Linked DNA regions of Kluyveromyces lactis. The protein of the gene in region 1 purifies or fractionates together with the protein of each later gene. This does not show direct contact. Links are inferred from orthologs where the notes say so. Each region holds a gene or a part of one and is shown on either strand. Other genes may lie near its edges.

The links.
Region 2: the proteins of UTP6 (region 1) and IMP3 purify together in Saccharomyces cerevisiae (affinity purification with mass spectrometry, with the first as the bait; 3 studies listed by BioGRID). This does not show direct contact. The link is inferred for Kluyveromyces lactis from reciprocal best matches to the Saccharomyces cerevisiae genes UTP6 and IMP3.
Region 3: the proteins of UTP6 (region 1) and DIP2 purify together in Saccharomyces cerevisiae (affinity purification with mass spectrometry; 5 studies listed by BioGRID). This does not show direct contact. The link is inferred for Kluyveromyces lactis from reciprocal best matches to the Saccharomyces cerevisiae genes UTP6 and DIP2.
Region 4: the proteins of UTP6 (region 1) and RRP5 purify together in Saccharomyces cerevisiae (affinity purification with mass spectrometry, with the first as the bait; 3 studies listed by BioGRID). This does not show direct contact. The link is inferred for Kluyveromyces lactis from reciprocal best matches to the Saccharomyces cerevisiae genes UTP6 and RRP5.

The regions. Positions count from the first base shown.
Region 1 is NC_006038.1:118,542-124,523, forward strand, and holds UTP6 (snoRNA-binding rRNA-processing protein UTP6), read right to left. Parts: upstream 2,751-5,982; coding exon 1,386-2,750; downstream 1-1,385. Other genes in the region: chromatin-binding transcription regulator ADA2, read left to right, coding at 1-1,292; YML6 (mitochondrial 54S ribosomal protein uL4m), read left to right, coding at 3,323-3,361, 3,530-4,279; RPS18A (40S ribosomal protein uS13), read left to right, coding at 5,082-5,128, 5,659-5,982.
Region 2 is NC_006041.1:1,423,253-1,428,396, reverse strand, and holds IMP3 (snoRNA-binding rRNA-processing protein IMP3), read left to right. Parts: upstream 1-2,372; coding exon 2,373-2,924; downstream 2,925-5,144. Other genes in the region: MRPL9 (mitochondrial 54S ribosomal protein uL3m), read right to left, coding at 36-857; MRPL6 (mitochondrial 54S ribosomal protein uL6m), read right to left, coding at 1,200-1,844; KLLA0_E15973g (SKG-like transmembrane protein), read right to left, coding at 3,188-5,144. UniProt on the Saccharomyces cerevisiae protein: Required for the early cleavages at sites A0, A1 and A2 during 18S ribosomal pre-RNA processing.
Region 3 is NC_006040.1:1,376,599-1,383,403, forward strand, and holds DIP2 (snoRNA-binding rRNA-processing protein DIP2), read left to right. Parts: upstream 1-2,285; coding exon 2,286-5,096; downstream 5,097-6,805. Other genes in the region: NEDD8 ligase DCN1, read left to right, coding at 1-49; TAF12 (Taf12p), read left to right, coding at 331-1,866; inositol-3-phosphate synthase INO1, read right to left, coding at 5,465-6,805. UniProt on the Saccharomyces cerevisiae protein: Involved in nucleolar processing of pre-18S ribosomal RNA.
Region 4 is NC_006038.1:727,707-734,369, forward strand, and holds the start of RRP5 (Rrp5p), read left to right. Parts: upstream 1-2,143; coding exon 2,144-6,663. Other genes in the region: YPK9 (putative acid anhydride hydrolase), read right to left, coding at 1-977.

The sequences.
Region 1 (5,982 bases):
ATTGTGATATTTGTTCTGCAGATTGTACAAACAGAGTCAGAATAACATGTGCGGTGTGTCCAGAGTATGATTTATGTGTGCCATGCTTCGCAAAAGGGTTATACAACGGTAAGCACCGGCCAAGCCATGACTATAAAGTGATTGAAACCAACTCATACCCGATTCTCTGTGAGGATTGGGGCGCTGATGAAGAGTTACTGTTGATAAAAGGAGCCCAGACACTGGGATTAGGTAACTGGCAAGATATTGCGGATCATATCGGATCTAGAGATAAGGAAGAAGTTTATGATCATTATTTGAAGTTTTACTTGAACAGTGAACACTATCCTATTCCAGATATCACAAAAGACATTAATGAACCGCAAGAACAATTTTTGGAGAAAAGAAAGAAACGCATGGAAAGATTTAGGGAAAGGCCTTTGGAACCTCCTAGGAAACCGATGGCATCACAACCGTCATGCCATGAAGTGCAAGGGTTTATGCCAGGTAGATTGGAATTCGAAACGGAGTTCGAGAATGAGGCCGAAGGTCCGGTCAAAGATATGGTCTTCGACGCCGATGATCAACCGTTAGATATTGAAGTGAAGTTGGCTATTCTTGACATCTACAACTCGAGATTGACGACTAGAGCAGAAAAGAAGCGTTTGTTGTTTGACAATTGTCTGATGGAATACAGGAGACTACAAAGTCTCGATAAGAAGCGTTCAAAAGAAACCAAAGATTTGTACAACAAAATTAAGGCTTTCGCAAGAATCATGTCCCCGCTGGATTTTGAAGAATTCAGCAAAGACATATTGGAAGAACTTCGGTGTCGAACAAGAATTCATCAATTGCAAGAATGGAGGAGCAACGGTATCACTACTTTGGAAGCTGGTCTTAAATATGAACGTGATAAACAAGCAAGAATTATGACATTGGAAAGATTTGGAAGTCAAGTGTACTCTTCTTCTTCATCTAGTAACACTGCCCGTTATAGAGCTACTTCGGCCCATAGATCGCAAGCTGATTATGCTCAAAATTATAACGAAGGAAGTGGACGTAAGAAACTAATGACTATCAGTGACATTCAGCATGGGGCAGATTTCCAATTATTATCAGCTGAGGAACAGCAGTTATGCATAACGTTGAAAATTTTGCCAAAGCCTTACATTGCCATCAAAGAGGTACTATTCAGAGAATTAATACGGACTGCAGGTCAACTCTCGAAGAAACAGTGTCGTGATTTATTGAATATCGAGGCAACGAAGGCCAACAGAATCTATGATTTCTTCGTTTCTCAGAATTGGGTTTAATTAGAGTTATAAAACTGTGGAAATATTGGCTCCACTGCTTACCTTACTACTTAATGTCAAATATGTACATAAAAATGTGTATACAGTGTCTCATTACAGTTTCTTGATAATAGCATTCAAAATAGCATACTTCGAATCAGATTTATCCATATTGGATAATAGATGTTGGGTCAAATAACCAGAATATAATGTAGTAAGTTGTTTGGCATTCGTCTCATCTAATTTGCTGATGTATGCAGAATACTTTTTGAAGGACAATTGGAGACTGTCGATGTTTAATTCGCCGGCAGGCATGAATTTGATATTTAATGTAACATCATGCAATAATAATTCCACATATTTTTCTGGCATACTTTTCTCAAGGGAAATATTATAATGTTCGTCCTTTAGCCATTGCAATACGTGATTTATCAGATATTCTCTTTTTAAATCTTGAAATTCCGAAAATAAGTTGATATACTCGAGGCATCTATCAAACAGGTAGGACATAACGTTTCTGCTGAGCTCTTCATCGACTTGCGAATTGGTAACGGCGTAGTATCCTTGATGTTTCTTGACAAAAGATGTGCCCAGATTCTTCATTGCGATATCGAATATAACCAATGCGACATCACCACGTAGTGCTGGATTAGTTTCTTCTGATCCAAGCATATTCATATCGGCTTCTGGTAACTCGTTTAGTTTATCTTTCATCTTGTCACCAGTACTTGGAAGTTGAATTCCGTCTTTGTCAAAGTATGCTTCGTCATCTGCAGTTTCTTCCAGACCTGTTACATTACTGGAGTTTCTTCCTTCCTCTTGCTGTTGTAGCATATCTAGCTCTTGTTCCCTTTCGTTGATTAAATTCATCACTTTTCTTCTATTTAACAATTTTGTCACGAAATTCAGTTCGAATTTAACGTACTCGTACCAGAGTTTAGAAGCATCTGGATTAAATCTAAGACCAGTTTGAAAAACATTTCTACAGCTCTTGAAGTTTGCGTGCAATTCGTATTCATATTTAGCACATGATATCCAAACGTCAACGTTTGTTGGATGTAATTTGAGCAATTGATTGTAGACGTTTTGAATCTTTTTATAAGAGGCATTTGTACCCTTTGATTTTAAATGATTCAAATATAAAGACCAAAATTTCAATTTTTTTGGGAACTTATTGCAGCCTCTTTGGAAAATATAGAGAATCCTCTGCTGTATGGTAAAATCCGAAATACTATTTGATTTGTTCGATTGCAAGATACGTTTAACACGTTTCATTCTTAATGCATCGACATTCTTCTCGTATTCAATATATCTGATGTAATCACTTATACTTGAACCTCTCGAACTCAATCTGTGTTCAAAATCAGTCCTTTTCTTCATAATTTTGTTTACTTCATTCTTAGTGAATAACTTCTTCTGCACTAAGTCATCAACTTCTGGAATACATTGTTCCAAGTAATATCTTGTTCTGGATGACATCGCCTTACTCTGGGTAGTTTTATGTTAAGTATTGATTAAAGTGTAATCACGGAGACTCGTATCGCTCGCTTACTGACAAAGGAAACGACTACTGGCTTTGTTCATGCTAAATAATACTGAGATGAGATGAGATGAGCCTTGAAGCTTTTGAATTTTTTTGGTTATATTGATTTCTTTTTCATATAATCAGTCAGAATAAAGTCCTCCATTTAAATAACCATCGATGAATAACAAAAGGACAAGTACAATTGTTGTTCTGCTAGCGTAAATCGGATTTTTTTTTACTGCAAATTGAATCCGCTTACATATGACATTCGGGACTACCATAAACTGCGACCCTTAATGTCGTTGTATGCTTTCATACAAGATGACAGTTTTGTTGATCGTTAATTCGGGCAATTTAACATTACCCGGATATTTTACATGGTAGACAAATTTTCGATAATCAAAAATCTGAATATGAAATAGGTTGAATACTAAAGATGATTGATTTGTTTGCGGTGATCAGACATAGGAGTGTCCAATTGATCCCCTTTGTATCGAGACATTAAGTCAGTGTATCAGAATCAGCCATGTTTTCCAAGAGACAAGGTTTGAATTTGTGCAAAAACGTATGTCAAACCCATTTTCATCACTGTTGCAATGGTAAAGCGCGGGCTTTCCTCAAACTGCATGATGATATCCTTCCGCATTAAGCAGTTATATCACCTACTTTTAGAAGATCGATTTACTAACTATTGCTCGTAATTTTTTGTTACTCTTTTCCCTATTCTCTACAGGTCCGTTACGTTTCCAACAAACCCCTTCCTAATGCTAGTCTACCGCCAAAATATACCTTAGCAACGGTTCGTTCATTCCCATCATTAGAACCATTGACATTTGCACCAGTGCCAACCTCAGTATTTGATGCTCCATTGAGAAGAGACTTACTATGGCGTGCTGTTGTTTACGAAAATGACAGTAAACGTGTTGGGTCTTCTAACCCCCCAGGCAGAAGTGATGTTGGTTATTCGAGAAGAAAGATTTTACCACAAAAGGGATCTGGTATGGCCAGAGCTGGTGACGCTAATTCACCAATAAGGCATAACGGTGGTAGAGCTCTAGCAAGAACTGCACCAAATGATTATACCACAGCGCTCCCAAAGAAAGTGTACTCTTTAGCATTCAATAACGCACTAAGTCATCAATACAGAAACGGTAACGTCTTCGTCATCGGAAGTGGTGACGGAATCTCCGAAACAAGCCAGGCTGATCTAAATGAATTGGAAATTCTTCCCATCGGGGAGGGCTCAGAAGATGGCGATATCGTGTTCGAAAAATTCCTAAAGCACTATGAGCTACAGAACAAGAAGCTATTATTCGTTATTAACGAACCAAGGCCAGGATTATTTTCATTTACAGAAAGATTCCAAGATAAAGTTAACATCGTCCAAAAAGAATTTGTTGATGTCAACGATCTACTTAAGGCTCACAGAATCTTTATTGAATTGGAAGCTTTAGAATACCTGGCTGTTACTCACGTTGTTTGATTATGGAACGAGATACTGATCATCAGACGGGAGTTAAAATAAAAGCTTCGAATAATAAACTCCACATTGCACCAACTCATCCACAACTTGTATATATATGTATGTGTGTATATTAACGTCACAAATAAAATGAAAATAGCTACACGGCTGTTTATCTAAGTTAGCGACATCCGTATTTGTAAAGACAATTGACCAATGCTGTGGCCATCATCAAGCTGTAAAATCCAAATCGAGGACAAACAGACGCAACCATTTCGGACTGTTGTCGGAAGCCTTATACACCCGTGCATTTTATTATTTTCAATGCGCCTATAACCGAATAATAGTTTAATTTTTCCTTTCCTTCAAGTTTCCTGATTAGGAAACCCATCCAACGTTTTTCAGACTTTGGGCTGAGTTTTCTCCGTGCCTAAGGAAAGACAGGGCATTAGGTGTGCCGACGCCTCGGTTCTTTCCAGTTTCTCCTCCCCGACAGAATTTCCATCCCCCTGATTCTGCTTCTCCTACCGACACCTTCTGCTCCTAGGCTGGGAACATGCACCACTAGACCGATCTTGCTCAGTGACAGAGTATGCTGGGCCTCTGTCCAGTTCTGGTTTGTGCGGTTGTGAGACAATCGTTCTATAGTGGTTTTACCGAATGGCAAGTTTGTATGGAGGGAAACCTTTGAACCTTTGCAAAATCATAGTGTTCAATTAGTGAAAAGCTACTTAACAATGATATATTAGTGTTATTATATTTAAATAACGGATACTTTATTATTAGGTAGTCGTTTTCGAAACAGAACGAGTAAGAAGCAAAGATGTCTCTAGTTGTTCAAGAACAAGGTTCCTTCCAACACATTTTGCGGTATGTTTTAAGATGAGAAACGTTTTAAGAGGATTACAACGAGGAAATTGAAATGAGATATGTTCAAGGGCAATGAATACGAGTATTATCAAGACAACACTACCGTGGTTATAAAGAGTTCCGAGGAGATGAAAGGTATTAGACAGCTTTATGAAAACATGCATTGCGCGTTACATTCGGTATATCATTTAGTGATGATGTTATACTATTAAAGTGAAGAAAATGAGAAGGAATACCACCAGATAGATGGTCCCACAATTTTTCCAAAGATCAAATCGAATTGAAAAGCTTACGCCCGTTAGTAGACAATATGCAGAATGTTGAACTCAAAAATGGATCTCCTTTCTGACATTTTACGTTAGGTCATCCAAAGTTTTATGTTGATTTAGGCATCGAAAACAATCAAAGTACCAAACTGCATAATCGAAGCAAGGAGAAGCATTTTGTGTTTATGGGTTTTCCTCCGTTGTCGCCCTCAGATTGACTATCATCAAATTTTACTAACATTTTTATTCCCATTATTTTTACAGTTTGTTGAACACCAACGTTGATGGTAACATCAATGTTGTCTACGCTTTGACTACCATCAGAGGTGTCGGTCGTAGATACGCCAACTTGGTTTGTAAGAAGGCTGATGTTGATTTACACAAGAGAGCTGGTGAATTGACCCAAGAAGAATTGGAAAGAATTGTCCAAATCATGCAAAACCCAACTCACTACAAGATCCCAGCTTGGTTCTTGAACAGACAAAAGGATGTCAATGATGGTAAGGACTACCACTCTTTGGCTAACAACTTGGAATCCAAGTTGAGAGATGACTTGGAAAGATTAAAGAAGATCAGATCTCACCGTGG
Region 2 (5,144 bases), on another chromosome or scaffold:
CGACTGAAAAGATTCAATTTCTTAATCACAGTTTTTTATACTGGGGTTGGCTTTTTGATAGCATCTTGGATCTTAACGAATGCACCATTTGGACCTGCGACAGAGCCCTTCACCAAGACAGTACCTGTTTCGTCGTTGACGTCCAGCACTTGCACGTTTTGAATTGTTACAGTGTCGACACCCATATGACCAGGCATCTTTTTCCCAGGCAACACACGACCAGGTGTTTGATTTTGACCGTAAGAACCACCAGATCTGTGAGATACGGAAACACCGTGGGATGCCTTCAAACCTTTGAATCCATAACGTTTCATTACACCTTGGAAACCCTTACCTTTGCTGATTGATCTTAAATCAACGTATTGGCCAGGCTTGAACCACGAAGGTTTGATTAAAGAACCCACTGGTAGTAGTCCAGATTCGTCCTTGACTCTAAACTCGGTAACTTTTTCCTTTGGATTCACAACATGTGCAGCGAAATGTCCCAACATTTGTCTGGTAACATTCTCCGGCGACTTGTTACCATAACCAATTTGGCAAGCCCAGTAATTGTTTTCAGCTGGAGTTCTGTGTAGTATAACTTCGTTATTGTCCAACTGAAGTACAGTAGCTGCTATACGTTTACCAGTCTCTTTCTCGAAATACGGCATCATCCCTACTTTTTTACTCAAAGCACCACAACGTAGAGGTAATCTTCTTCTCTTTAGCGCATTTTCTGGAGAATGTTTAATATCTACAGGATCTAGATGAATGCTGCTTGCCACGGATGGTGCGACTAACTTGGCACCGTTCGATACTCCACTTTGTGAGAAAAGTCTTGTCCAAATCTTCGACGAAGGACTGCCAATAAATGCCATTATTCCCCAATTTTCAAAGACTGGTCGATTGATAACAAATGTGTCAATCCAGATAACCTCTTGGCAATGCTGGAGAAACTGTAAAGGATTTAAAATGTAGTTTAAAGACTCTATTGAAACCTGTTTCCATCTCTGTATAATTGTTAAAGCTGTTTCGATATTGAAAATTTTTTGAATCGATAAAGTTACCTATAGATCACGTGATTAAAACGGCACGTAGTTCTCTCACTGATTTAACACAAATTAAGTGTGCCCTTGACGGTTATTGGAAGTGTATGTTTATGCTTCTGTATTTACATGTTATTTAATATTATAATAATTATAATCATCATTCTATCGTCATCATTTGATCTTCTTATCCTTGATCTTGATAGTTTCATTGTTAACGTAGATACCTTTACCCTTATATGGTTCTGGAGGATGGAATTTTCTCAAGTTGGCAGCGAAGAGTAGCACTTGTTGCTTGTTGACACCTTCCACGATCAACGACGTGGGTACCGGAGACTTAACTATGATTCCCTCTGGGATAGGTAGGCCTTGTCTTACCGACGCACCGACTTTGACGTTGACAAAGGTGTTATTTTCCTCCAATTGAGCTCTGTAACCGGTACCAACGAACTTCAGAACAGCCATATGGCTCTCATTCACGCCTGTGATATGATTATTTATATGAGATCTTACCGTCCCCCACATGGATCTTTGCGTCTTGTCGGTAGAATCCTTCACTGCAACTTCGATTTTTCCCGAAGATCCATCCTGCTTTATCTCCACGAAATCTGGGATTTCCATATCAATCTTCCCCAAAGGACCCGATACAGTTACGTTCTGAGATAACTTAAGAGATTTGTTACCCTTTCTGATGATCTTTGGCAGTTTCATTGATTCCACCACCAACTTGGTCTCCGGTGTCAAATACACCGGAGAAGAACCAATATGTGAGCGCAGAAGAGCCGACACAGAAAAGAGTCTTCTGGAAACAAATGTCATGGTAATTGTGTATATCCTGGAAATAGTCTAGCCCACTTTGCAGCCGCTATATGACTGGGTATATTAGATCAAATGCGTCTATATCAATCTGTTCTTCCAGCACTCATCTCTATGCGTCTTTCAACCAATTTTTCACTTGGAATCAAAATTTTAATAGTGAGATAGTATGGGAGGGTAACTTTAATTGCTTTGACGATTGTTAAATAAGATATACTTAGGCTGTTACTCTCGATTGGTGACCATCTAGGCCACTCCTGGGTCGAAATGGGATGTGGAGACTGCTCTTCGTCGAAACACAGGAGTAAATACCTTGTGCTTATATTATCCTGTGCATCACGTGACTTGTTGATCTTTGCCCTTTCTTTTTGAAAAATTTCAAGCTCATCGCCTACGCATCGTCATCTCATCTCAATTACTGAATGATATAGCAGGCTGAAGTGGTTTCAAGAGCGTTCAGCAAGTCATTTGGTGGTCTCATAGCCAATATAAGGATAGGATACTCCAAGCAGATACACTAGGTAATACAGTATGGTAAGAGCATTGAAACATCATGAGCAGAAGCTTCTCAAGAAGGTCGATTTCTACGAATGGAAACAGGACCAGAACCACAGAGATACGCAGGTGATGCGTACGTACCATATCCAGAACCGTGAGGATTATCATAAATATAACAGAATATGTGGTGATGTGCGTCGTTTGGCACATAAGCTATCGCTTTTACAACCTACAGATCCCTTCCGTATCAAGCACGAGCAGCTCTTGCTAGAGAAACTATATCATATGGGCATTCTTTCAACAAAATCCAAGATATCAGCACTAGAGAATAAAGTTACAGTCTCGGCTTTCTGTCGTCGTAGATTGCCTGTAATAATGCATAGATTAAAGATGGCACAGACACTCAAGGATGCCGTTCAATTCATTGAACAAGGTCATGTTAGAGTAGGACCTAACTTGATTACAGATCCAGCATATTTGGTAACAAGGAATTTGGAGGATTACGTTACATGGACAGATTCATCCAAGATCAAGAAGACTGTACTACGTTATAGAAACGCGGTCGATGATTTTGACGATGCCTAGATTGATCCTGCTATACTTGCCTTCGGAAGTAGGAAAAAGGGCAAAAACTATTATTTTACAAATTTGAAAGGAAAGTAAGTAGTAGTGGTATATATGTATCATAAGAAAAAGTATTCTAATTACAATCTTTTGCTTCGAGCTCGGTTCCAATGTATATGGATATGCCGGATAATGCATATAAACACGTAAGGATTGTATTCAACAAGACTCCAAAAGAGGTCTAAAAAAACAGAATGGTAAAACAAAGGGAAATAATGCTCCCTTTACATGACATTGTAATTGTGTGATGAGCCCAACTGCTTTCTTAGATCTTCTTGCGATCCGGAGTGCGGTAGAATAGTCCCCATGCTTGGTGGATGCATAACGTCGGTGTCGTCAAGAATACCGCTTACTCTCGATTTAATATAAGTGTCTTGTAACTGTTGTTGATAAGTGTTAGTATTTGACATCAAACTGTTGGATCTTGAATCCGCTACAGCACGAGAGAATGATCCAGCTGGCTTGAAAAGGTTATTTTGAGACAACTCGTTTGGATTTGTCATCACCACGGATTGTCTCAAATGATGAGGTAATACCTTGCTTCCTGCAGAGTTAATTTGTGATGGTGTTGTATTGCTGGAGGCTTGATCTGAGGATAATCCCAAATCTGATCCGTTTGTTTGGTGGAAATAAAGTTCTGGATGGTCGATTGGATTGTAGTTATGGTTATTTTGTGGTGTCATAGCTGCTGCTGCTGGTGACTTAAGGGTGGTTTTTGATTTAAATGACGTTAACGAATGAGAGGAACCGCTAAATGGTAAATTAGATGGTCGTGGGAGCTCTTCGATGCTTTCCATATTAGGAGGGGGGAGATTATGCTGTATTTGGTTGTGATATGTTGGGAAACTTCCATCGTACTGATTCTGTCCGTAATACTGATGATTGTAGTAGTATTGATTTTGTTGATGGTCATTATGATACTGAGACTGGGTGTCATAAATTGATGACGCTACCCTTGGCGCAGGGTCTGAATATTGGTTTGGTGCGTTCGAGTTAGGATTTTCAAACGCTGCTGTATCTTGTGATTGGGTATTGCCATCAGCTTGAGTACCTCTACCATAATTTTCCTCTGGGTACTGTGGGGCTTCCGGCTGAAGAGAATAGCCATTCTGGTAATACTCATGTTGCGGTTGGGCTTGATAATTTTCAGGTATATTGGATGGATTCGTAGGCTCATTGGAGTTGGAGCTCTCAGTAATTATGTTTGATGCATCCTTCGGTAACTCTGCAACCGGTTGGAACCCTTCGGGCACCGGATTTCCTTCTCTAATGGTTTTCACAGTACCGTTTCTATCCAAATAAACCTGATATATCGATTTCATTCTAGCCACATCTTCATCGGAGTCTTCTTCATCACGTTGAATGTAGACATCATCTTCATTTTCCAAGAACGGCTTTTTCTGTAATTGAATTCCCTCTGATGTGCGTTCGGACTCCTGCATTGAAACTTCTGGTTGGAACCCTTCTTGGTCTTGATGAATATAAGATTGTGTTACGTTTCCTCTGGAATATTTAACAGGGCTAGGCTCACTGTATAGGTCGCTATCCTTTGAGTCCTCTTCGTCATCGTCATCGTCCTCGTCTGCAGGACTACCGGAATCCTGTACAATTTCACTGTACTTCAAAATCTTATCATCACCGTTAGAGTTATTACCATTCGAAACTGTGGAGAACTTTGACAAATTCGACAGTTGAATGTTCCCATTATTAGGGACAGACCCACCTGCCGCTGACGTGGGTCTCGAGATAGATATTTGAGAAGCAGAACGCGTCGCAAGTTTGTACCCATCAAAATCACTATTCTGGAAAGTCTTGGCAAAATTCCTTAACGTTTCGGAATCATCGGTCACAGTTGGCAGTTGGAATGGATTTGTTGCGCTCTGAGAATAAGCGAACGATTTGGTCTCATCGTTGAAAGGATTTGGTTGTACCGAAAATGCACGAGTAGCTGATGAGGGTATTCTCATCCCAGAAGGATCGACGTTGCGTTCCATCTCAAACTCTTGTCCAAAATCCGGTAAGAATTCCGCGTCACCATCAAAGTCTGGATCATTGTCCTCCAGTTCTTCCTTCTTGTTTCTCTTGTATACTTTGTACAAAATGAATATCAATACCAGTCCAACCACTACTACCGGAACTACGACCGCTACTACCACTGCAGTAGTATTAGTCGAATCAGAT
Region 3 (6,805 bases), on another chromosome or scaffold:
ACTTATAGACGAATATTACGAATTCTTGGAAGAAAATGACAAGCTGTGATGCAGCGCAAACACCTATATCGCTTATGAACATATTCATAGATACATATATTCATATATACGCATTGTGTATGTTGTCAGGGTAACACTTGTCTTCCTATTCCTTTCAGCATCAAAATTCAAAAATATTTCAAAGATCAACAAGTGAATAACAATCGAAAGTAGTTGCCGCGAGGTTAAAGCAAGGGCAAAACGGGGGCAAAGAAGGCCAGCACGAGGGTATTTCGACACTTAAAGTGGGCTTGCGGTGTGCATTTCGGATTACGAACCAAGATACGGACAATGTCAGGCCAAGCAGGTAATGTACAGCTGCAGAACCTCACGCCAGCTTCTATGCAGCAATTGGCGGATAGACTAAAATCGTTAGTTAACGAAGCTAAGCGAATTGGTGTAGATACCAAGGAAGGGAAAGAGCTATTGAGACAAGCGGCCCGTATTAAGGCTTTGTACGAGGCTTACAGTAAACAGAGGCAGCAGCAGGCCCAAGCGCAGGCTGGAGCACAGGGAGCTGTAAATAATAATGCCACGAATGTTAAATCCATGGATCAGCAGCAACAGCAGCAGCAACAGCAGCAGCAACAACAAGCTACCGCCAGTTCCAATAATGTGACGAATAACATAAAGGTCTTATTAACTCCTCAACAGCGTGAAGCTTACAATAGATTGGTTCAAAAGTATGAGGATGACGGTCAGAATATCAAGGGAGAATTCAACTTTTTGAAGAGAAATATTAGTGTTTTGGACCAAGAGATCAGGAATAGACGAGGTAACAGTCTATCGGTGCAGCAATTAGAGGTTAACAGGAATGAATTATTAATGAAAATCAGGGCATTGAGTGCCCAGTATTCGACATTACAACAGAAATATCAAGAGGACAGAAGAAAGTTTTACATTGAGTGTTCTCAAACTAATGCTGACTTAAGAAGATATCTACAAGCACAGCAACAAAAAGCTAATGCTGCTAAGTCACAGGGTACAGTAGCTGCAAATGCAGGTACACCGGGACCTCAGGCTGGTGTTTCTACTCCAGGAACCAACACCGGTACACCAATTCCAACAAGTTTGAATAAAGCTTCGAGTGGTAGTCCTCCAAATGCTATGGCGCAAAGACAAAATATACCAATTCAAAAGACCGCTGCAACTACTGCAACTGCAACAAACGCAAACCCGAGCTCAGCAGCTGCCGCACCAAATAACACAGCTTCTGACAAATCGTCCCCAATGCAGGTGACAACGGTGAATGCAGCTGCAAATCAAACAGCACAAAGCAATACAAGACCACCAATCTTCAAGCAACCAAACCCATCGATACCAATAAGTGAAAATGTCACCGCATCCCCAACAGTTTCAGTGTCATACAGAAGCAACAGACCTACGATAACAGGCGGTAGTGGTATGAACGCGCCAGCGCTAACTACACCTGTTATGACCAAACTACCGCCATATGAGGTCGATACTGAGCGTGTGATGTCTAAAAGAAAGCTCCGTGAACTCGTCAAAACGGTGGGTATAGACGAAGGTGATGGTGAAACCACCATTGATGGTGATGTGGAAGAGCTATTACTCGATCTAGCAGACGATTTCATTACTAATGTTACGAATTTCGCCTGTAAATTGGCAAAACATAGAAAATCCGATTCACTCGACGTAAGAGACATCCAAATGCATCTGGAACGTAATTGGAATATCAGAATCCCAGGGTTTGCCAACGATGAAATCCGTAGCACCAAGAAATGGAATCCAACCCCTTCGTACAATCAAATGGTAAATGCAATCAATAACAATAAAACTGCACGTACACATCCCGAAAAGAAGTGAAATGGATAAATTACCACTGTTTAAACAAGTTCATTCATTCAAACAGACTTAATTTGATGCATATATTATACATCATATATCATATATCTATTAATGTAACAATTCCTCAAAATATTGAAAATGGAGAAGTGGATGAGTACCTACAACAATGCATAATCAAGTCCAGGGAAACTGATTCTTAATACTCTTTGTCCTATTCTGCCTGTCTCATATATGTATAAACCACCCTTTTCTTTTTCATGGCTTCAAGTTGTATTTTTCAAAATTTTCCAAAACGTTAAAAACTATGGAAGGTCATCTCATCTCATCGCATAATGCTGTTCAAGAACAAGTATAACAAAACTTATATACTATAACCCTGTGTAAGATATCAGTTATTGCTACTATTATCCGCAGTGTGGAGTTTAAATTGATACACAATGGTTAAATCGTATCAACGTTTTGAACAAAGTGGTCTTTTTGGGTTAATTTCTACTTCAAATCAGTCGATCTATCTTCCAGCTACGAACTCAACGTCTGGCAAGCTAATTACAGGTGCTCTGGAGAATATTCAAATATGGACATTGAAAACTAATGAGGTGGAAGTACTTACTGATGGGCTACCTATCGGTGCAGTAGAGACTAATATTTCTAAACCTTCAGTAGTAACTGCGATGTGTTTCCACAAGGAAACAGAGTTGTTATGTGTTGGTTACGAAGATGGTGTGATTAAAGTGTGGGATCTGCTTTCTAAAAGTGTATTGATGCAGTTTAACGGACACAAGAGTGGTGTTACCGTGTTGAGATTGGATTCCGAGGGTACTAGATTAGTTTCTGGTAGTAAAGACAGTGATTTGATCATTTGGGATTTAGTCGGTGAAGTTGGTTTGATGAAACTCAGATCACATAAAGATGCCATTACTGGTATCTGGATAGACCATAATATGGACTGGCTTATTAGTGTGGCCAAGGATGGTCTTATCAAGGTATGGGATCTTAAGGCTGGTGGTCAGTGTGTTGAGACGCATATGGCGCATACTGGTCAATGTTGGTCGATGGCAATCGATGAGGAAGTCATAATAACCACCTCGATGGATTCACAGGCCAAGATATGGGAATTAGATTTAGAGAAGAGTAATGGAGAAAAAATTTCAGAACGTGGTACTTTCGAGACCGAAAGTAAGCAAAGAGGTGTTTCCACTGAATTTATCACAGCACCAAACGGTACCAGGTTTTTCTATATCCAGAATAACGACAAGACAATAGAAATCTTCCGTATCAGACCGGAAGAAGAGATCAGGAAAGCTCTTAATAGACGTGAAAAGAGGCTAAGGGATAAGGGGGCCTCTGAAGAGGAAATTCAGGAGGCGGTTAACCCAAATGATATCAGCGTTTTATTCCATTCGTTCTCCACGGTACGCTCAAGTTACAAAATTAAATCCTCCAACTGGATTCAAGCAAGTAATAGCAAGTTGGAAGTGGTTCTCACAACTTCTAACAATACCATTGAAAGTTATCAAATTCCATACAGTAAAAGAGATGCAGAACCACCAGTGAGAAGGTATAACGTCGAATTACAAGGTCATAGAACTGATATCAGATCTATGGACATCAGTGATGATGGGAAACTATTGAGTACAGCATCTAACGGAGAATTGAAAGTATGGAATCTAACTACAAAGAAATGTATCCGTACCTTTTCCTGTGGTTATGCGTTGTGTTCCCAGATGCTACCTGGTGGATTATTGGTGGTTGTGGGTACAAGACAAGGTGAACTTCAGCTATTTGATTTGGCTAGTTCTACATTACTATCTACTACAGAAGCACATACGGCAGCAATCTGGTCATTAGATTTGACTAGCAATGGTAAAAGACTGGTCACTGGTTCAGCGGACAAAAGTTGTAAATTTTGGGATTTCGAGGTTGTTGAACAATTGGTCCCAGGCACAAAGGATAAATACATTCCTCAACTTAAATTAGTCCACGATACGACTTTGGAACTAACTGATGATATTTTGGCTGTTAAGATATCATCAGAAGATAGATACTTAGCCGTTTCATTACTAGACAATACTGTGAAAGTATTCTTTTTCGATTCTTTGAAGTTCTACTTAAGTCTTTATGGTCACAAACTACCTGTACTTTCTATTGATTTTTCTGTAGATTCCAAGATGTTAATTACTTCATCAGCAGATAAGAACATCAAGATCTGGGGTGTTGACTTTGGTGACTGTCACAAGTCCATATTTGCTCATCAAGATTCTATCATGTCAGTAAGATTCGAAGCCGACACTCATAATTTCTTCAGTTGTGGTAAGGATGGTGCTGTCAAGAGATGGGATGGTGACAAATTTGACTGTATTCAAAAGCTCAATGGTCACCAAAGTGAAGTGTGGTGTATTGCAGTGTCACCAGATGGAAGAACCGTTGTGTCTACTTCTCATGATCATAGTATTAGAGTATGGCAAGAAACTGACGATCAGGTATTCTTAGAAGAAGAGAAAGAAAGAGAGATGGAAGAAGAGTATGAAGAAACACTATTGAAATCATTAGAAGGTGGATCAGGAGACGATCAGTTCCTTAGGGACAAAAACAGTGGAGATGACGGAGTGATTGATGAGGTTAGTGGTGTTAATAAGCAAACTCTTGAGTCTTTAAAAGCAGGTGAAAAGTTAATGGAAGCTCTAGACTTAGGTGTAGCCGAGATCGAATCCTGGGAAAATTACGAAAAATCTCTTAAGTCATGGAAAAAGAAGAAAAGTGGTGAACCACCAATGAAACCTCAAAGTAACGCCATCTTAATTGCCATGAAAATAAAACCGGAAAAATACATCATGGACACACTAGGGAAAATTAAACCATCACAACTCGAAGATTCTTTACTTGTGCTCCCATTCTCATATGTTATCAAATTCTTCAAATTCTTTGATGTGATAATGAAGCAAAAAGATTTAGTGTTGTTACATCTAAGTCTCATTTGTAAAATCCTATTCTTTATAGTTCGCACGAACAATAAGGAATTAGTCGCTCAAAAGAATGAAGAATTGAAACAGAGAATTGAAAGAGTGAAGACCAACATCAGAACAATGTTGCAAAAAAATGCAGACGATCTTGGGTTTAACATCGCCGGTCTTAACTTCATCAAACAGCAATGGAACTTAAGACATAACTTGGAGTTCACTGATGACTATTCGCAGTTAGAGCATGAGAAAAAGGTTGCAAAGAAGAGAGTTTTCGAAACTGTTCGCTAGATTTACGTCCATAAATTAAAACCGTATGCATCTTATTAAATATATAACCTGTCTCAAGGTATGTAAATATCAAGTTATAGATAATTCATCGACATCGATTTTCATCTACAGTTTTTGGTCTTTTGTTATTGTTTTTCATTTGAGCACAGATGTTAACATTTAGTTTGTGAAGTTAAAAAAAACTGACACTTTAAGGAATGACTAGCATGTAATCCAGAATAGGGTTATAAGAAATATCATGGAAATATCGTGGAAAGGAATATATTTATTCGTTGACTAGATACGTATCTGGTTGGGGTTCATATATGTAAAAACTACTTCTTTTCTTTCTATTCTATCTTTAAATAGCATGCAGCATTAGCATTCTTTTAAACCAATCTTTCTTCGAATCTCAACTCGTCCAATGCTGGCAAACCGATTAACAATCTCAAGAAGTTTTCCAAAGCAGCACGTTGTTTATTCAAGCCATTAATAGCCTTGAAACCTGGTCTAGTCAATGGTGCCTTCAACCAGTAACTCAACATAGTCAAGACAGGGTAGAAACTGTGGTAACCTCCTGAAAGGTCATTAATCTTCTTGTACTTGATTCTGGAACAGAATTCAGCCATGACTAACAAGTCAATGATCAATGGAGTAGCCAACAAAGAATCCTCACAGACGTTGTGGATGGAGATTCTGTTATGACCACCAAGCATCAATTCACTGTAATATTCATCCATGGCAACCTTAGAGTCACCGACCGCTGGCATATATTTGATAACGATACAGTGGTCGATCTTGTTACCCAGTTTGTCATTGTAGAGAATTTGGTTGGATTCAATGATATCATCGACCACACTCGCCTTGGAGATTTCTTTAGATTTGAATTGTTGTGGAGAACTCAAATTGTAACCATCGTTGTTACCCAAATGGTTGTAGGAAGCGATAGAAACTGGTCTGATACCAGCATCAACCAAGAATTGGGCCAAGACAGACTTCATCTTGGTTTGACCACTCTTGAAATCATCACCAGCGATGAAAGCGCCTTCCTTTTCAGCTAAATCAATGACACCTGGGACGAAAGTGTTCTGTGGGGAACCATTGATGTATGGAACGTTTTCCAAGATAGATGCGACAGCAAAGACAGTGGATGGAGCAATTTCTGCATGATCACTCCTGATAGCATTGATCAAGTTTTCAGCAGTATCGTTAACACCAGTCACGATGTCAGCATAACGTTCAGTGTTAGCTGTCCATAACACCAAGACTTTGTCCAAACCATTATTTTCCTTGAATTGACGAATGTCGTTACGGATGTGTTCAACGTGACTCCATTTGTCCTTTACAGACACAGGTCCAGCCTTACCATCCCTATTGAAACAGTTGTCTGCACGTTCATCTTGGTTAGCAGCGATAAAATCTGGATAGTAGATAGAAGGTAAAGGTTTGTGAGCGGACATTTCTTGACGCAATTTATTTTGCAAATCGACACCAAGAACTTCAGCTCTTGCCATTGCTGTTCCAAGGTCAGCACCATTAATATCCCAACCAGAAACATAGAAGTCATTTGGAGATACCATTGGAACTAAACTATTGAACGGAGCATAAACGTCATTTCCCTCAGCGTCAACACCAAGTTTCAAAGTAGAAGATTGTGTCACAGAACCATAGTAATTAGCTTCCTTCAAACCTTCCTTGGTTTGGAACTTAACCTTGTGCTTATTAGCCAA
Region 4 (6,663 bases), about 610 kb from region 1:
AATGCAAGTCCCAAAGTGATAATACAAAGTAGATAGTAGCATTGTAGCCTAAATCTTGATGTGCGATAACCAGCTATCGCAACAACTAGGTCTTCTTCGGCGATGTAAAATCTCTGATAATGCAAATATGGCACGTTGTTGGGGAAAAATCTTGAATGGTACTGAGGCTTTAAGAACTCAGAGTGGTAAGATTTCTTGTTCTGTTCCTGATCTTCTTCTGCTCTTGAATTGTAATCGTCATTAGCTTCAGCTTCCTCATCCTCACTTTCTGACGAAGCTGACGATCTGAGCTCCGAATCATCTACATCGTGAGTAGTGGAAATTTCCAATTCGGCAGGAATTCTATCTCTTAGAGTGTATCTCGAGGAACTTGAGGAAGAACGTGGGGAAGTAGAGTACAACCGATCTTCACTTTTACGTGATCGTACTGAATACTTTCGATTAGGTGTAAAAGTTCTCATCGCATAGTCGTTACCATCTTGTCTCAATGATGTTTTCGATGACCTCGGTTGAATATGTAGACGTTCTTGCTCATATGTCGGTATGGCATCCCAATCCATATCATAATCAGCATTTTCTACACTAGAAGTGATACCTTCAGCATTTTCGACCTGTTCTTCTGTGAAAAACTGGAATCCACGACCTCTTGAAGAGCTAGACCGACGAGAGGTTGTTGTACTCAATAGTAAAGGGTCATGTTCTGATGATCTACCACGCCTTTCCAAATTAGTGGAAGAGCCAGCACTAGCACCATAACCACTAGATTGGAATGAATGTGGATGATAGAAAGATACGATAGAACTTGGTACAGTCTCTACAGCAGCACCAGAATATGGTTCTGTGTTGTTTTGTTCCAAGATTGCTGATGAAGTAGTTGTATTAGCGCTGGATCCCGTCCTTGTCGAAGAAAAGGACGGTCTTGCTGATTTATTCGCACTATGGGGTATTCCTGTAAATCTGCTGTCGAATGATGACATTGAGTCCCTCTTCAAAGGTGCGTTGGTCGACCTTATCTATTGATAGAATCCACTCCATATTACTTTTTAAAGGTTTCTGATATATATGAGAATGTAGGTTGATAAATTGAAGATAATTGATTTAATGAAATTTCATACCAAGACACATAATACATAAGGAAGGATAGGAGAAAAGGCAGGCCAATGATACCTCACGTTACAATGTGGAACTTTACTGTGTTGATAAAACTCTCGTAGTTCGATAGATATATAGACTGCCCCTGAAAATGGATCGAAAGGAGCCAGAAACAGCTTTAGACTGTAATATGATGGTGCTTTTATGCCTTATAATAAATATTTCCGGCTGTGAAAGTACCTTTAGAAATGAAATTGAACAAAAAAGAGAAAAAACATATAGTCTGATCTGAAACTATTACCATAGAAGGCATTCCACTCGTAATTGCACAAATTTTTCTTAGCATGACCAACAAAACTCTTATCACTCCCCTAGAACCTTTTAGTTACATGGTTTCCACCATTACAGATATGTAATTATTATACCTCTTTAAGAAGATAGAATAACTGGCTAACAAAAGCCCTTAATAGTTAAGAAGTATGTCATGCATTCAAAAGACCCTAATCCGTGGATACGGTTCAAACAAACTCCAGTGATAACAACGGAAGATCTGTACAACGTTCCATTATTAAACTGTCACTGCATCAAAGGCGCGATTACATTTCGTCTATGTCGTTTTGATTTCTTTTTTTTAATATTGAAAATTTTCAAAAATCGATGCGATGAGATGAGATGAGATGAGATGAGCTTTAGCTACTTAAGTGCTGGATCATTTGTATTGGTATGCTAACACATTTCTGAGCTTTGTTGATTCTAGAAACCAAGTGCAACTTTCTTAATTCTGGTAAAGATAAGTCTGGTTTACTTTCTCAAACAGGAAACAGTTTGGTATAACATATTTTGTATCTTTCTCTGAATTCTTTTTGCTTTGTGCTTTCTATTGGCTTTATTGGTTTCTATCTTCACAGAAGACAAAAACAACAACAACTTGGGAACAGGAGCTTCAATAGTTTGCAAGACACTTCAAGAAAAACATAGGTTTACATCTAAATTGCTAGGTGTAATTTGTTTTGAAAACAGGCATATCTAAATACCGAAAAAGATCACAAACATGGTTGCTCCACAAAGTAAAAGAAAGAGAGACGATGAGTCTCCTTTAGTAAGACAGGATGCTACCGAAGCACCAGCCAAATCTGCATTGAGTAAATCCGAGGAAATCTCATTTCCAAGAGGTGGTTCTTCTGCTTTATCCCCATTGGAAGTTAAGCAGGTTGGTAACGAAGTGGTTGCTGATGTTTTATTTGGCAAGGATGAATCAGCTACTGGTGCAGAGGGCCCAACGAAGAAGAAAAAGAAGAATGCTAAGAATAATTTTGATCAAATTACCACAGGTGATGATGAAGAAAAAGAGGACAAGACTGATTTAATTGAGCATTTTGGAATGAAACAAATGACCAAAGGGACCATTGTCTTGGGTCAAATCCAATCGATCAGCAAACATGAACTGAAAATATCTTTGGTGGACGGTTTGCATGGTTACGTCTCATTAACAGATATCTCTGAACAAATGACCAAGATTTTGGAAAATTTGGACGAATCCATGGAAAGCGATGATGAAAAAAATGAGGACTCAGAATACGATTCTTCAGATGATGAAAGCGACATAACAACTCCTAAAGAATTACCTGATCTCAATAAATATTTCAAAATAGGCCAATGGTTGAGGTGCATGGTACAAAATAACAGCGCTTTAGAATCAAACAAGAACAAAAAGTTAGACTTATCCATCGAACCCTCTGTAGTAAACGTGTTTGAAGATGATGATTTAGCTAAAAACTGTCCACTACAGTGTTCGTTGAAAAGTATAGAAGATCACGGTGCCATTCTTGATATCGGTATTGAGAACTTAACAGGTTTTATCTCAAAGAAGGATATACCTGAATTCAGTTCTTTGTTACCAGGTATGGTGTTCTTAGCTACAGTGACGAAAAGATCTGGTAGAACTGTAAATGTCAACTTGGATTTGGCCAGTAAAAACACCAAGGTCGAAAAGATCTCTTCCATAGATGCCATCGTGCCGGGTCAATCGATTGACTTTTTACCTCAAACTATCACAAATCACGGTGTTATCGGTAAAGCCTTCGGTCTAATAACTGCATTTTTGCCATTGCCACATTCCAATTTCTTTACGGTAGAGGATTTGAAGCATCACTACTCCATTGGTGACTTAGTCAATGCTAGAATTTTGGCAACCACTATAGTGAAAAGCGGCGATAAAGTTGCTGTCGTTTCCACACAACCTCATATCATCTCATTGCATCCAAAATTACAGGAGACCGAAGCGTTAGAATCTTTCCCCGTTGGCTATATCTTCGATTCTTGCACAGTTAAAGGCAGGGATAGTCAATTTTTCTACGTATCAATCAACAATGAACAGGTGGGACAAATTCATTTGTCAAAGGCAGGAGAAACTGAACCAACGGGAACTGTGAAAGCAAGAATACTCGGCTATAACAATGTAGATAAACTTTACACATTGACGTCTGATCCAGCCTTACTTGATGTCAAATACCTAAGATCGTCCGATATTCCAGCAGGCGAAGTTTTGAGCGCTTGTGAGATTGTCACAGTGTCAGGAAAAGGTATTGAATTAAAAATTTTCAATGATCAATTTAAGGCATTTGTTCCTCCCTTACACATATCTGATACCAGACTTGTGTATCCTGAAAGAAAATTCAAAATTGGTTCAAAGGTTAAAGGTAGAGTTCTCAATGTCGATTCTGTGGGCCGTGTCACTGTGACATTGAAAAAGTCTATTGTAAATGCAGACGAAGAATCTGTGACGTTAGTCTGCAAAAATGATGATATTCAGACTGTTGAAAGTCAAGAATTGAAAACAATTGGTACTGTTGAAATATTCAAGCCTAATGGTTGTGTTATCTCGTTCTTTAATAATATCAAAGCTTTCGTTCCAAACAAAGAAATTTCAGAAGCATTTGTAAAGAAACCACAAGAACACTTAAGACTAGGACAAAGTGTTTTGGTTAAAATTTTGAATCATGACTTCGAAAGAAACAGAATTATTGCTTCTTGTAAAATTTCAGCAGAGTCTTCTTCCAAGCAAAAGAGTGCTATTGAATCTTTAGTTGTCGGTAAATCTATCATCGATGCAATTGTTATTGAAAAGACTAAAGATTCCGTCATCGTAGAATCTAAAGATTCAGGGTTGCGCGGTGTTATTTACACCGGCCATTTGTCAGATGATAGAATTGAACAAAACAGAGCTTCGCAGAAAAAGTTAAAGATTAACTCTGAAGTTAGAGGTTTGGTTTTGGACAAGGACATCAGGACTCATGTGTTCAACATGTCCTGTAAAAAATCATTGATTAAAGATGCTGAAGACGGTACCCTTCCTTTAAGTTTTTCCGACATCAAAAATAAAGACAAAACAGAACCGATGCATGGTTACGTTAAATCTGTTTCTGACCGTGGTGTTTTTGTTGCATTCAATGGTAAATTTGTCGGTTTGGTTTTACCAAGTTATGCAGCAGAAACCAGAGATATTGATATTCATAAGAAATACTACATCAATCAATCCGTGACCGTGTATTTATTGAGAACAGATGAGGAACATGAAAGATTTTTATTGACTATTTTAAAACAAAAGACCGATGTTAAGAAGATCAATTCATCTGTAATTAACCCAGTCGACAAGTCTATCAAAGATTTGTCGGACTTCACTATCGGTAAGGTTACAAAGGCTACAATTACATCAGTTAAGAAGAACCAGCTTAACGTTACGTTGGCTGATAATGTACATGGTCGTATCAGTATTTCTGAAGTTTTCGACAGTTTCGAAGATATCAAAGAACAAAAGGCACCATTAAGTGTGTACAAGAAAAATGATTCACTCTCAGTCAGAGTTATCGGGTTCCACGATATTAAAAGCCGTAAATTCTTACCAATTTCTCACACAACATCCAAGAGCCATCTAGTCGAACTGAGCGCAAAGCCATCTTCATTAACTTCTCCAGTTTCCGAAAAGAAACTCAAGGACTTCACTCCAGAGCAAACAACCTTTGGATTCATTAATAATTATAGCAACGATACCGCATGGTTGACTATCACTCCTACTGTCAAGGCCAAACTACCAATCTTTGAGATCTCAGATGAAGGTCATGACTTTTCCTTACCAATTGAAGAGAAATACCCAATAGGTACAGCTGTCAGAGTAACCGTCAAATCTATTGATACTGAGCATGATTCACTAGTTGTTTCTGCTAGATCGCACGCCATCTCCTCTATTTCAGAAATTAAAGAAGGCGATGTTCTACCTGCTAGGGTAATTTCTGTTCAGGATACTTACGTTTTATTGTCTTTAGGTAAAGATGTTACTGGTGTTTCATTCATAACCGATGCTTTAGATGATTATTCTCTATCGTTGAAAGATGTCTATGACTCCAAAAAGAAGAACATTGTTTCCGCCACAGTTTTGAATGTTGACATAGACAATAACAAGATCAATTTATCCTTGCGTTCTTCTTCTCCAAAGGACCGTACCATCATCTCCTCCTCTGAATTGAAGAGAGGTGATATTGTTCGTGGTTTTGTTAAATCTATCACTGACAAAGGTGTTTTTATTAGTTTGAGCAGTGTATTGCAAGCATTCGTTCCAGTTTCCAAGCTTACGGATGCCTTTATCAAGGATTGGAAGAAATTTTTCAGAAGAGGTCAAAGTGTTGTCGGTAAGGTTGTGAACTGTGATAATGATGATCGCGTACTATTAACTTTGAGGGAATCTGAAGTCAACGGTCAATTGAACGTATTAAAATCATACTCTGATATTAATGTGGGCGATATTTTCCAAGGTTCTGTGAAGAATGTTACTGACTTTGGTGTTTTCGTAAAGTTGGACGGTACAGTCAACGTAACTGGTTTGGCCCACAAAAGTGAAGTCGCTGACGCTAAAATAGATAATTTACAAAACCTTTTCGGTGAAGGTGACAAAGTTAAAGCAATCGTCTTAAAGACCAATCCTGAAAAGAAGCAAATATCTCTAGGTTTGAAGGCTTCATACTTCACTAACGAGAAGCCTGAAACCGTTGAAGAAGGTAATGAAGAAGAAGAAGAGCTCGAAGGTGTAGATGATCTAGATATCGATATGGAAGATGGACAGAAGGAAAGCGATGCTTCCGACAAAGATGAAGACAAAGATGAAGACCAAGATGAGATCATGGACGATGCTCAATTTGGACATTCCGATTCAGAAGCGGAAGACACAACTAGACCTAAAAATTCTGCCCCAGTCAGCACTGACGGACTTTCATTGAGTACCGGATTCGATTGGACTGCAAGCATCCTTGACCAAGCTCAAGACGAAGAAGAATCCTCCGAAGAAGATGAGGACTTCATTAAATCTAGGAAGCAAAAGAAGAAGAAGACTCAGATTGTTCAAGATAAGACTGTTGATATCAACACCAGGATTCCAGAATCCGTAGGCGACTTTGAACGTTTAATCATGGGTAATCCAAACTCTTCCGTGGTATGGATGAACTACATGGCTTTCCATTTACAACTAAGTGAAGTCGAAAAAGCCCGTGAGATCGTTGAACGTGCACTGAAGACCATCAA